Linked DNA regions of Caenorhabditis elegans. The protein of the gene in region 2 interacts with the protein of the main gene of each other region in a pairwise test. Each region holds a gene or a part of one and is shown on either strand. Other genes may lie near its edges.

Region 1 (4,844 bases), on a different chromosome or scaffold from region 2:
CTGAAAGTGTTGTCTATTTAACTTAGTAGATCCCAATTTTTTACCTCCTAAAAAAGTTCTGTGAAACCTGATCCAACCTTAATTTTTCAGGTCCAATGTGAGCACCAATGTCTTCCTAACAATCCGAACTGTATGGCAGCTTGCCAAACGACTTGTTACCCAGTATGCCAATCGAAAATGCGTCGTCGCATGAAAGAAACGAAAAATCAACGAACTGAAGATTTTGCTCATCGTCAGTGAATAATCAATTATTTATTTATTGATTCGATTATTTTGTATTTATTTATGTACCATCAGTATTCTAATGTTTTTGGGAGTAATTTAAGATTTTATGGTAATTTGCAATTTGACGAGTTAGTCAATGTATGTAGCGAATAAAACGTATTGAATTCAACAAGCCATTATTTTTATGAACGCCAAGTCGGCCATCCCAATTTAAAACATCCAAAATCCCAATATATATTTTTGTACTTTGATACAATAATTAATTGTGTAAAGAAAATACAATCAGAATACAAATTGACATGTATCATTTCGAAAGTTCCCATACAAGAAAATTATTACATTTATCACTTGAAATTAAGTTGGTCCAAATATGTTAGAGCTAAAATTCTATTGAGCTCACTATCAGGACTCCGTTTGTTCAAACATCTTTATTTATTTCAGTTGAATAAAAAAGTTGCCGAGACATTTGAAATATGGTGATTGAATGCAAAATCAATTGCACGTTTTTCCGTGAAGAGTCTAGACAGTTGGGAAACTTGGAATGATAGCTGAAAATATGCATGTTCCCTCAATAATGTGAACCGCCATAAAAAAGTTATTGGAAAATTTCAAGACGTCTCATTGCGAATTTCAGGCCATTTGATACCTTCAAGTCTAATAGGGCATTGTCCCAATTTTCGGTACTCCTTCAAATCTTAGCAAATCAATAAAACTGGCAAAATAAACAAAAAGATACATTTATAAACGGCCTCCTATTCCAACCAAAATGGAATATTTAAACTACTTTACTAGTCTGTATTTTTAAATCAGTACTTATATTCTGTAAGTTCTAAATTAGTACAGAACACAATATCTCAGCATTTCTAGTTCAACGACAACGAAAAAACTTATAATTTCCGTTTAAATTTGTATCAAATTGAAACCTCCGTCACTATCTTCATCGAAACAATCCCAATTTGGTTCACCCCTTTGCTTTTTCCTGCCACTACAATCATCAATGTATGCTCATCAATAATCATCCTAATCACCAGCTTAATCACACAATGTCCTTTCTTCTCAAGCATGCCCCCATTCTAAAAAACAAACATCGGTGGAACAGACAAGAGGATGACCCCCTTCCGTCCTTTCCGAACTCTCCAAATTAGTGCCGATTTCCTTCCCCGCAAAAAGTTCGGGTAGCTCTCCAGTCGATTCAAGCGGCCAACAACGAACATACATTGACAATTTGTACATGGCGAAATACAAACAAACAGGATTCAAAAATTGCCTTGGGAAGCCATGGGGGCTCTCTCGTCCAGCAGGAGCACCAACGCGTCAGGCTGTCCTTTTTGCCGCGCGGAAATGCTCCGCCTCTGAGCGCGCATTCCGCGAAGCTTTTACCGCCCTCCTATCGCCCCCTCCGGAGAGCTCTTCAAGCAGTAAGAGAGAAGCAGAGTGAGAAATAGATTTTGAAGGATTTGTGTGTGTGTGTGTGAAGACTTATTATATACCATTTCTGTCTGTTAATAATCTTGTATCCGTACTCTTATTCATATTGTTCATCACTTAAATTCATATACAGTAATCCAATCCCTCCTGGATCTGAGAATTAGGAATCAATCATAAAATCTTCCCGATGGGACGCTCGAATTCTCTTCGGCTACTATTCTTATTCTGCCTTCTTTTGGCACTTTCTACTGCTGCGGTGAGTTTATTTTTGGTTTTTTGTTGGTAGTTACTTTGACTTTATTTGCTTTTGAATTGTTTGCTCGTAACTTGACCTGCTCGGTAAACTGGACTAATTAAAATCCTTTTGAAACTTTTGCGGTCAACCACTGTTAATTAGTCAGATATTTGTCTTCTCACAAAATTAAAGAGTTTTATAACTTATTTTATACGAACCATCTCTTATTAGCTTACTTTGGTTTGGTAAATCTTTATTTTGGGTGTGAACTTTGGTATTAACTGTATCGAACATTAGGTAACAAGCCTTCAATGTCTGTAACATAATTTGTAAACTAGATTGTGTTTCTTTAAGAGTCTTTGTTGCAAGTTTTAAATTTTGTGAAAATACCGTTTTTATCAGTATTAGAAAAAATTAGTTCTCTGCAATTTCTGAAAATCATTTTCTATGGATTTCTATTTTTTCGAAAAAATAATTCTATTGAAAGTACATTTTTGAAGATTACAAAACTTCAATTAGTCTATCCCTACAATATTTTATGTTGTGGGAACAATTGATGGGTTTGAAACTAGAATTTGATGACGCAACATTTTTTTTTAATTTTGCAGCTAGTGAATTCTAACAATTGCAGACTTTCTCTCTAACAGATTAATCAAAAAATAAATTAAAATTGTTTTGACCTTTTGGGAGCAATTTTATTCTAATTGTAGGAAAAATAAAAAACTTGTAAAAAAATTCAATTTGAGAATGGTTCCAATTTGGTTTTGACGGTTCAGTTTTACCATAATCCATTATTTCAAAACTACAAGGAGACAATCTTGGAAAAACGAGTCATGTTAGTATACCGGCTCTGTGACATTGATGCCTACCTGTGCGCCTACAGTATTTTTGTAGTCGACTGCAAAAAGCATGGTATGAATGTAGTAGGTCACTTTCAAGTCGAGTTTAATGCCTACATTGAGTGTCTGGTAAAAATGCTACTAAATATTGCTCTAGACAAACTCACCATTAAATCATGCATTAACCCAACTTTATTTCGAAACATTTTGATTCACATGGGCCAAAGTCTAAAGAATTTTGACAAAACTCCGCCCCGATTCTTTGACCCGATTCCTCTTCTTTTTATTCCAAATCGAGTTTTCTTCCCAAAAAGCCTGCTCATTCCAAGACAGTCAAACGAAGGTTTCTATTTCAATTTAGTCGGCGTCTCGTCCATTTCCACTGGCTCCAAGGTCTCTGTGTTGCGCGAGAGTTTGTTTCTATTGTCAGGCAAAGGTGAACACAATGAAAACAGAAAGTAAACACCCATTCGCCAGAGAGAGAAAAAGATTCGGTTTTTCTCCCAATTCTTTAACATCATGACCCCGTCATACACACAAAATGTCTGGTGAAATGGAAATTGGGTGAGAAGGAGAAAACATTTGAAAATTTAGAATGTTTCTTCTTCTTCTTCTTCATGGGATGGTGAATTAACAAAGGGATGCACAAAAATGGAAAAAGCGGAAACAGGAAACATCTGTTTTGAAACCGATATTGTTGCGAGAAACCGTAATTCGAAAACCGGAAGATCCTTCCATTTTTGGATTACTAAAATTACTAGACATCAATAAAAAATTAGTTTTTTTTAACTATAGCTTATGCTTCAATTTTTATTGGATCCAAATATTTATTGTTCACACATAGTCTCTTGGCTCTGGTACATTCTCAATTAAAATTCAGTAAAAACCCCGCAGCTTCCTCGAAATAGCGTAACTTTCTGTCAAGCTTTTTGCAATTTTCTGACATTTTCCTGATGAGAATCTTTTCCAGGAACTTACCTCCAGCAACTTATTCGATCATATCTTTAGAAATTGCCTAATTGTTTGCAGAAAGTTGATCCAAAATCCCGAGTTCACCGGGAAGGCTAAAGAATTTCCAAACTTTGAAAAAATTTGAACTGAACATTTTTTCATGCTGCCAAATCTTGATTATGTATCTTACCTCCCGTAAACTTTTTTATCTGAAAATCCACAAAATCTCCAGGTATATTGCCGAAACCGCCTCAGACCCACACACACGCAATAGTTCGCCCCACCAAGTCCTAATGTTTGATTACCGGGGGCGTCGTCTTAAAAGAGTCAATAGATGAATGACCAACCGGGAAATCGGATATCCGATATTCGAGAATGATATCGCCAAGGAAATGTGTGTGTGTATGTGTGTGTGTGGGATAAGGAAAGGTGATAAGGGGGCCCACTTATCAATTGTCACCTTTTCAAGAGTTTTGTTGCACTACGTAATAATAAAATCAGCGATTTCCGTATTTGGTTGGAGGGAAAATTAACGGTCTCCTTTGAGCAAATGGAACTAGATAAAAAATAAAATGGTAACCTCACATTTTGGAAATTACTTCAAAATTGAAAAGCAAAATTCAACTCTTTTTGATTTCTCTGTACAAGAAGTTCCTAAAATTTTTATCTATTTGAAAACTATTGTTCGTTTGGATTACTCTACATTACAGTACGGATTACAGTACGGGAGTGTTGTGTATTCGAAGGCGAGACGAGGAGAGAAGACGAGTAGTTTATTACATTACTAAACTAAGGAATAAATAAGTTAGTTCATAGAGTTCACGTTGCACGATCTTCTTAGCCACGTCGTGGGTCAATACACGTTGATACCCAACAGGGAGGGTCACGGTAACAGTATAAATTGATGTTCTATTTGTTAATTAATCATCAACCAACTCAACTTTAAGTTAGAATTTCTATGACTTGACATACTTTAAATTGGCATTTGTTGGGAAAATGTGTCTTTTTACACAGTAGTACAACTGTTTACACTGTTACCGTACCCCTACCGTACCCAGCCACAATGTTACAGTAGCACCAGTAGCATTCAAGATAAATTTTGCAACAGTACTGCTACAGCATTCATACCGTACTACTACAGTAACCCTAAAGTGTCCCGTCATAAA
Region 2 (3,784 bases):
CTATTCTTAATCCAATGCAGCCGATTTCGATCTAACAACGTTGAATGCCAGTGGCTGGCCGCTTCTGGAACAGCTCCTTCGGATTTCTGGATTGAAAATCAATGTGAAAAACCTAAATTAGAACTTTTTGAGTATTTAGAATATTTACAATTACCCATCAAACATATGCACTGAAGACCAGAGAATAGAAGAGAAAATAAAGGTGTAATCAATGTCTGGAATAAAACGCGGACCCCAAGTAAAACTACAAACGATTGCAAGAACAAATAGAGTTTGGCTTATGGACTGAAATTATTATTTAAAACAATCTATAAAGATCAATATTACCTGTTTCAACAAGCTAAGTTCTTTTGAGTGCTTTTCTGTTTTTGAGCTAATTTTTAACACTTTTCCGATAGCTAAAAAGTCCAAAATAGTACTGGAAATAGTCAATGAAAAAACAAGATAAAAGTCTAAATAAGTTGCATAAAAACGACAAACGTCTCCTCCAGAATAACGAAATGCTCTTGTTTCTTGGTCATAAAAATTTTGACATCCCACTGCAACTCTCCCGTCAATTTTAGTTGACATTAAACTAACCTACAAATTTGAAAAAATAGTGTTATGATTGTAAGTGCGTAGGAATAAATTCCCATTACTATACAAAACGTGAACAAAACACTAAACATCATACGATAAAGCATTGGTTTATACACTGCTAGAATTCTGTTAAGGGATATCATGAAATGAAAAGTTGTTGAAGCACTGTAGCAAATCATAAGAACATATCCACAAACACTCGAATAATTTGATAAAATATCGCTCTCGCTGAATGGAATTTTTATTTTAACTGTTGGCCTCGCTGAATGAAAAAAAAAACTTGTTCAACTTACAAAAATACCATTGGAGTTGCATAGAATAAGTAGAGCGCGGAAAATGTTCCATCAGCAATCGCTAGACCAACAGTTAAAATTGCAAATGGTTTTTGCAACTTTGTAACTTTTATCATTATAATCACAATTGCCCAATTTATTGTAAATCCACAGAGGGAAAACTGAAGGTACATCAATTTGTTTGAGCTACAATAAAATCTTACCAAAAGCATAATTGCAGAGATTGTTGTCACGGAAATCATGATTGTAATTTGCAGCCAACAGGAAATGAAAAAGTTAATGTTATGAATGAGAGAGAAATATCTGGAAAAATTGAAACTTTCTTGTCAGGCTCGAGTCACCTGGGCCGGTGGCGTTCAGCTACAATACAAACATAGTTTCTTTCACATTTCGCATAGATACAATTTATTTTTAAAAAATCCGTTAGGCTATTAACTAAATGTTTTTATACCTAATTTTTTAAACTTTGAAATGTGTTTCAAAGTGAGTTCAAAACTAAAATTTCAAACTCTAGAGATCCCGGAAGCTAGGAAATCCCAGAAGCGAGGCAGCAACCACTGTAGCTCTATACAATCAAATCGAAAAAATGTTCGGGTCTGAAAACCAACTTATGTCATGCATGACAAATCATGTAAATTAAATTAGAGTCGAAATTTGTCGTTCTTACATGTCTACGTGTCTATGTGGTTCATTGATTCTTTTGATTTTCGATTAGCTAGAACGGTTCAAAAATTTAAACAAAATTAAAAGATAAATCTTATAAAAATAGATTGCTTATCGCTGTTTGCCCTTGAAAACTAGTTCTCATGTGCGAACCTTGCGTGAACAAGGTCATAGAGCAAACTCAAACAAGACCTCTCTTCTTTGCTTGCGCAATACTACAATTTATTCCTGTATTAGCTCGGAGTTTTTTAGTGACTCGATAGCTTACTTGAAGCTTTAGGCGAACGCTTTTGCGCGCGGCCGCAAGAGAGAGTCACATTTAGAAGAGGATCAGGAAATTAGGAACTGGAACCGGTTTACTGAGCAGCTGGAAAAGTCATATAAAAGAGAAGAACAGAGCTTCATTACCATCCGATTTCCTCGGTTCGAATCATTATTAAAATGCGCTTTACTTCACTTTCTATTGCGTTCCTTGCATGTGCCCTTGTGGTATCTGGAAGTGCAATCCGTGAAAAGAGACAGTGTGGATGTGCTCAGCCACAGCAGAGCCAATGCTCGTGCCAACAAGTTCAACAGACTCAGTCATGCTCGTGCCAATCTGCTCCAGTTCAACAACAATCCCCATCCTGCTCATGCGCTCAGCCACAACAAACTCAACAAGTTCAGGTACAGTTCATTAACATATTCGCAAACCATTAAATCAAAAATTTTAGGTTCAATCTACTCAATGCGCCCCAGCTTGCCAACAGAGCTGCCAACAGCAATGCCAGGCTTCTCCATCAGTGTCCCAGTGCCAGCCACAATGTCAGCAACAGTGCCAGGCTCAATGCACTCCAATGTACAACCCACCAACCACTACTACCACCACCCAAGCTCCAGTTGTCCAATACCAACAGTGCCAACCAGTATGCCAACAGCAATGTCAATCTACCTGTGTTCAACAACAACAACCAGCAGCTCAATGTCAGCCACAATGCCAACAACAATGCAATGTTGCCTGTGATTCCCCATCCACTACCACCCAGGCCCCACAAGTGATCCAAATCCAACTCGAGATCCAACAAGCTCAAGCTCAATGCCAACCACAGTGCCAGCAACAATGCCAATCTTCATGTGTCCAGCAACAGCAACAATCCAACCAGTGCGAGCCAGCTTGCAACACTCAATGCTCTGATATCTGCCAACAAACTGCTCAGGCTACCCAACAAGTCTACAACCAGAACATGAACCAGAACACCAACACTCAAATGTACAACCCATACAATACCAACACCAACCAGAACGCTAACTGCGCTCCAGCTTGCCAACCAGCCTGCGACAACTCCTGCACTTCCCAGCAGACTCAGCCAATGTACCAACCATACGACACCACCACTGAAGCTCCAGCTCAAGTCATCCAGATTGTTCTCCAGACTTCTGTTGCTCAATCATCCCAATGTGCCCCACAATGCGAACAATCCTGCCAACAGCAATGTGTTCAGCAACAACAGCCAGCTGCCCAGTGCCAAACTGCCTGCCAATCATCATGCTCTAACTCATGCCAAGCTGCTCAACCAGCAACTACTGCCTGCCAGCAGAGCCCACAACAGAGCTCCTGCTCTTGCCAAGCTAACTACTCTCCATGCGGAAATGGACAATGCTGCCGCAGAAAGTAATTTAATTGTTCCTGATTCTTGATTTTTGTATATACCGAAACAATTCAGTTTCAATAAACGCATAACTTTTTAAACCTTCTCGCTTTAAAAATCTGACGTGACATAAAAATAACCAGAATAAACCAGTTGTTTTCGAAACACAACATGTTTATTTAAAAACTGTTAGCGTCTCTTCTTCGACTACATTTTTAGAAAATCTCATAAACATTTGTTCAGTTGGCATTGATACAGGTTTACGTATGTTCTATCTATTTCTGTACTCATTGAAAAATGCTCTCATCAAAGAAATATTTATAGAAAAGTTAGATTTACAAGAATTTTCTAGCTCGCCAGCAGGAGTTTAGAAACTAGAGATTAAAAAAAAAAAGCTCACTGATGAAGTATTTTAAATTCAATTTAGTTTCAAATCGTTTAGGTTCACGACTTTACGTGTTTCACTACCACACTGTTCCTTCATTACGAAAAATGTAATACGACCTTAGAAGTTAAAATTTATTTTAGCTTACAATTAAAATTGCTACATACTTTTTCTGATAATACTTGCGAGTGATAACTTTATAGCGATATATCAAAAATGTTTTCCATTTTCATTAA

Evidence for each region. The genes of interacting proteins can lie anywhere in the genome.
Region 1: the proteins of abu-15 (region 2) and appg-1 interact in a two-hybrid assay, tested with the Caenorhabditis elegans proteins (one large-scale study listed by BioGRID).

Annotation. Positions count from the first base shown.
Region 1 is NC_003280.10:10,324,454-10,329,297, forward strand, and holds the start of appg-1 (Activated in Blocked Unfolded protein response), read left to right. Parts: upstream 1-1,840; coding exon 1,841-1,909; intron 1,910-4,844. Other genes in the region: idpp-4 (Intrinsically Disordered Protein, expressed in Pharynx), read left to right, coding at 91-240.
Region 2 is NC_003283.11:5,156,647-5,160,430, forward strand, and holds abu-15 (Activated in Blocked Unfolded protein response), read left to right. Parts: upstream 1-1,955; 5' UTR 1,956-1,976; coding exon 1,977-2,201; intron 2,202-2,248; coding exon 2,249-3,190; 3' UTR 3,191-3,261; downstream 3,262-3,784. Other genes in the region: srx-39 (G-protein coupled receptors family 1 profile domain-containing protein), read right to left, coding at 7-112, 155-285, 328-539, 584-807, 873-1,033, 1,076-1,114.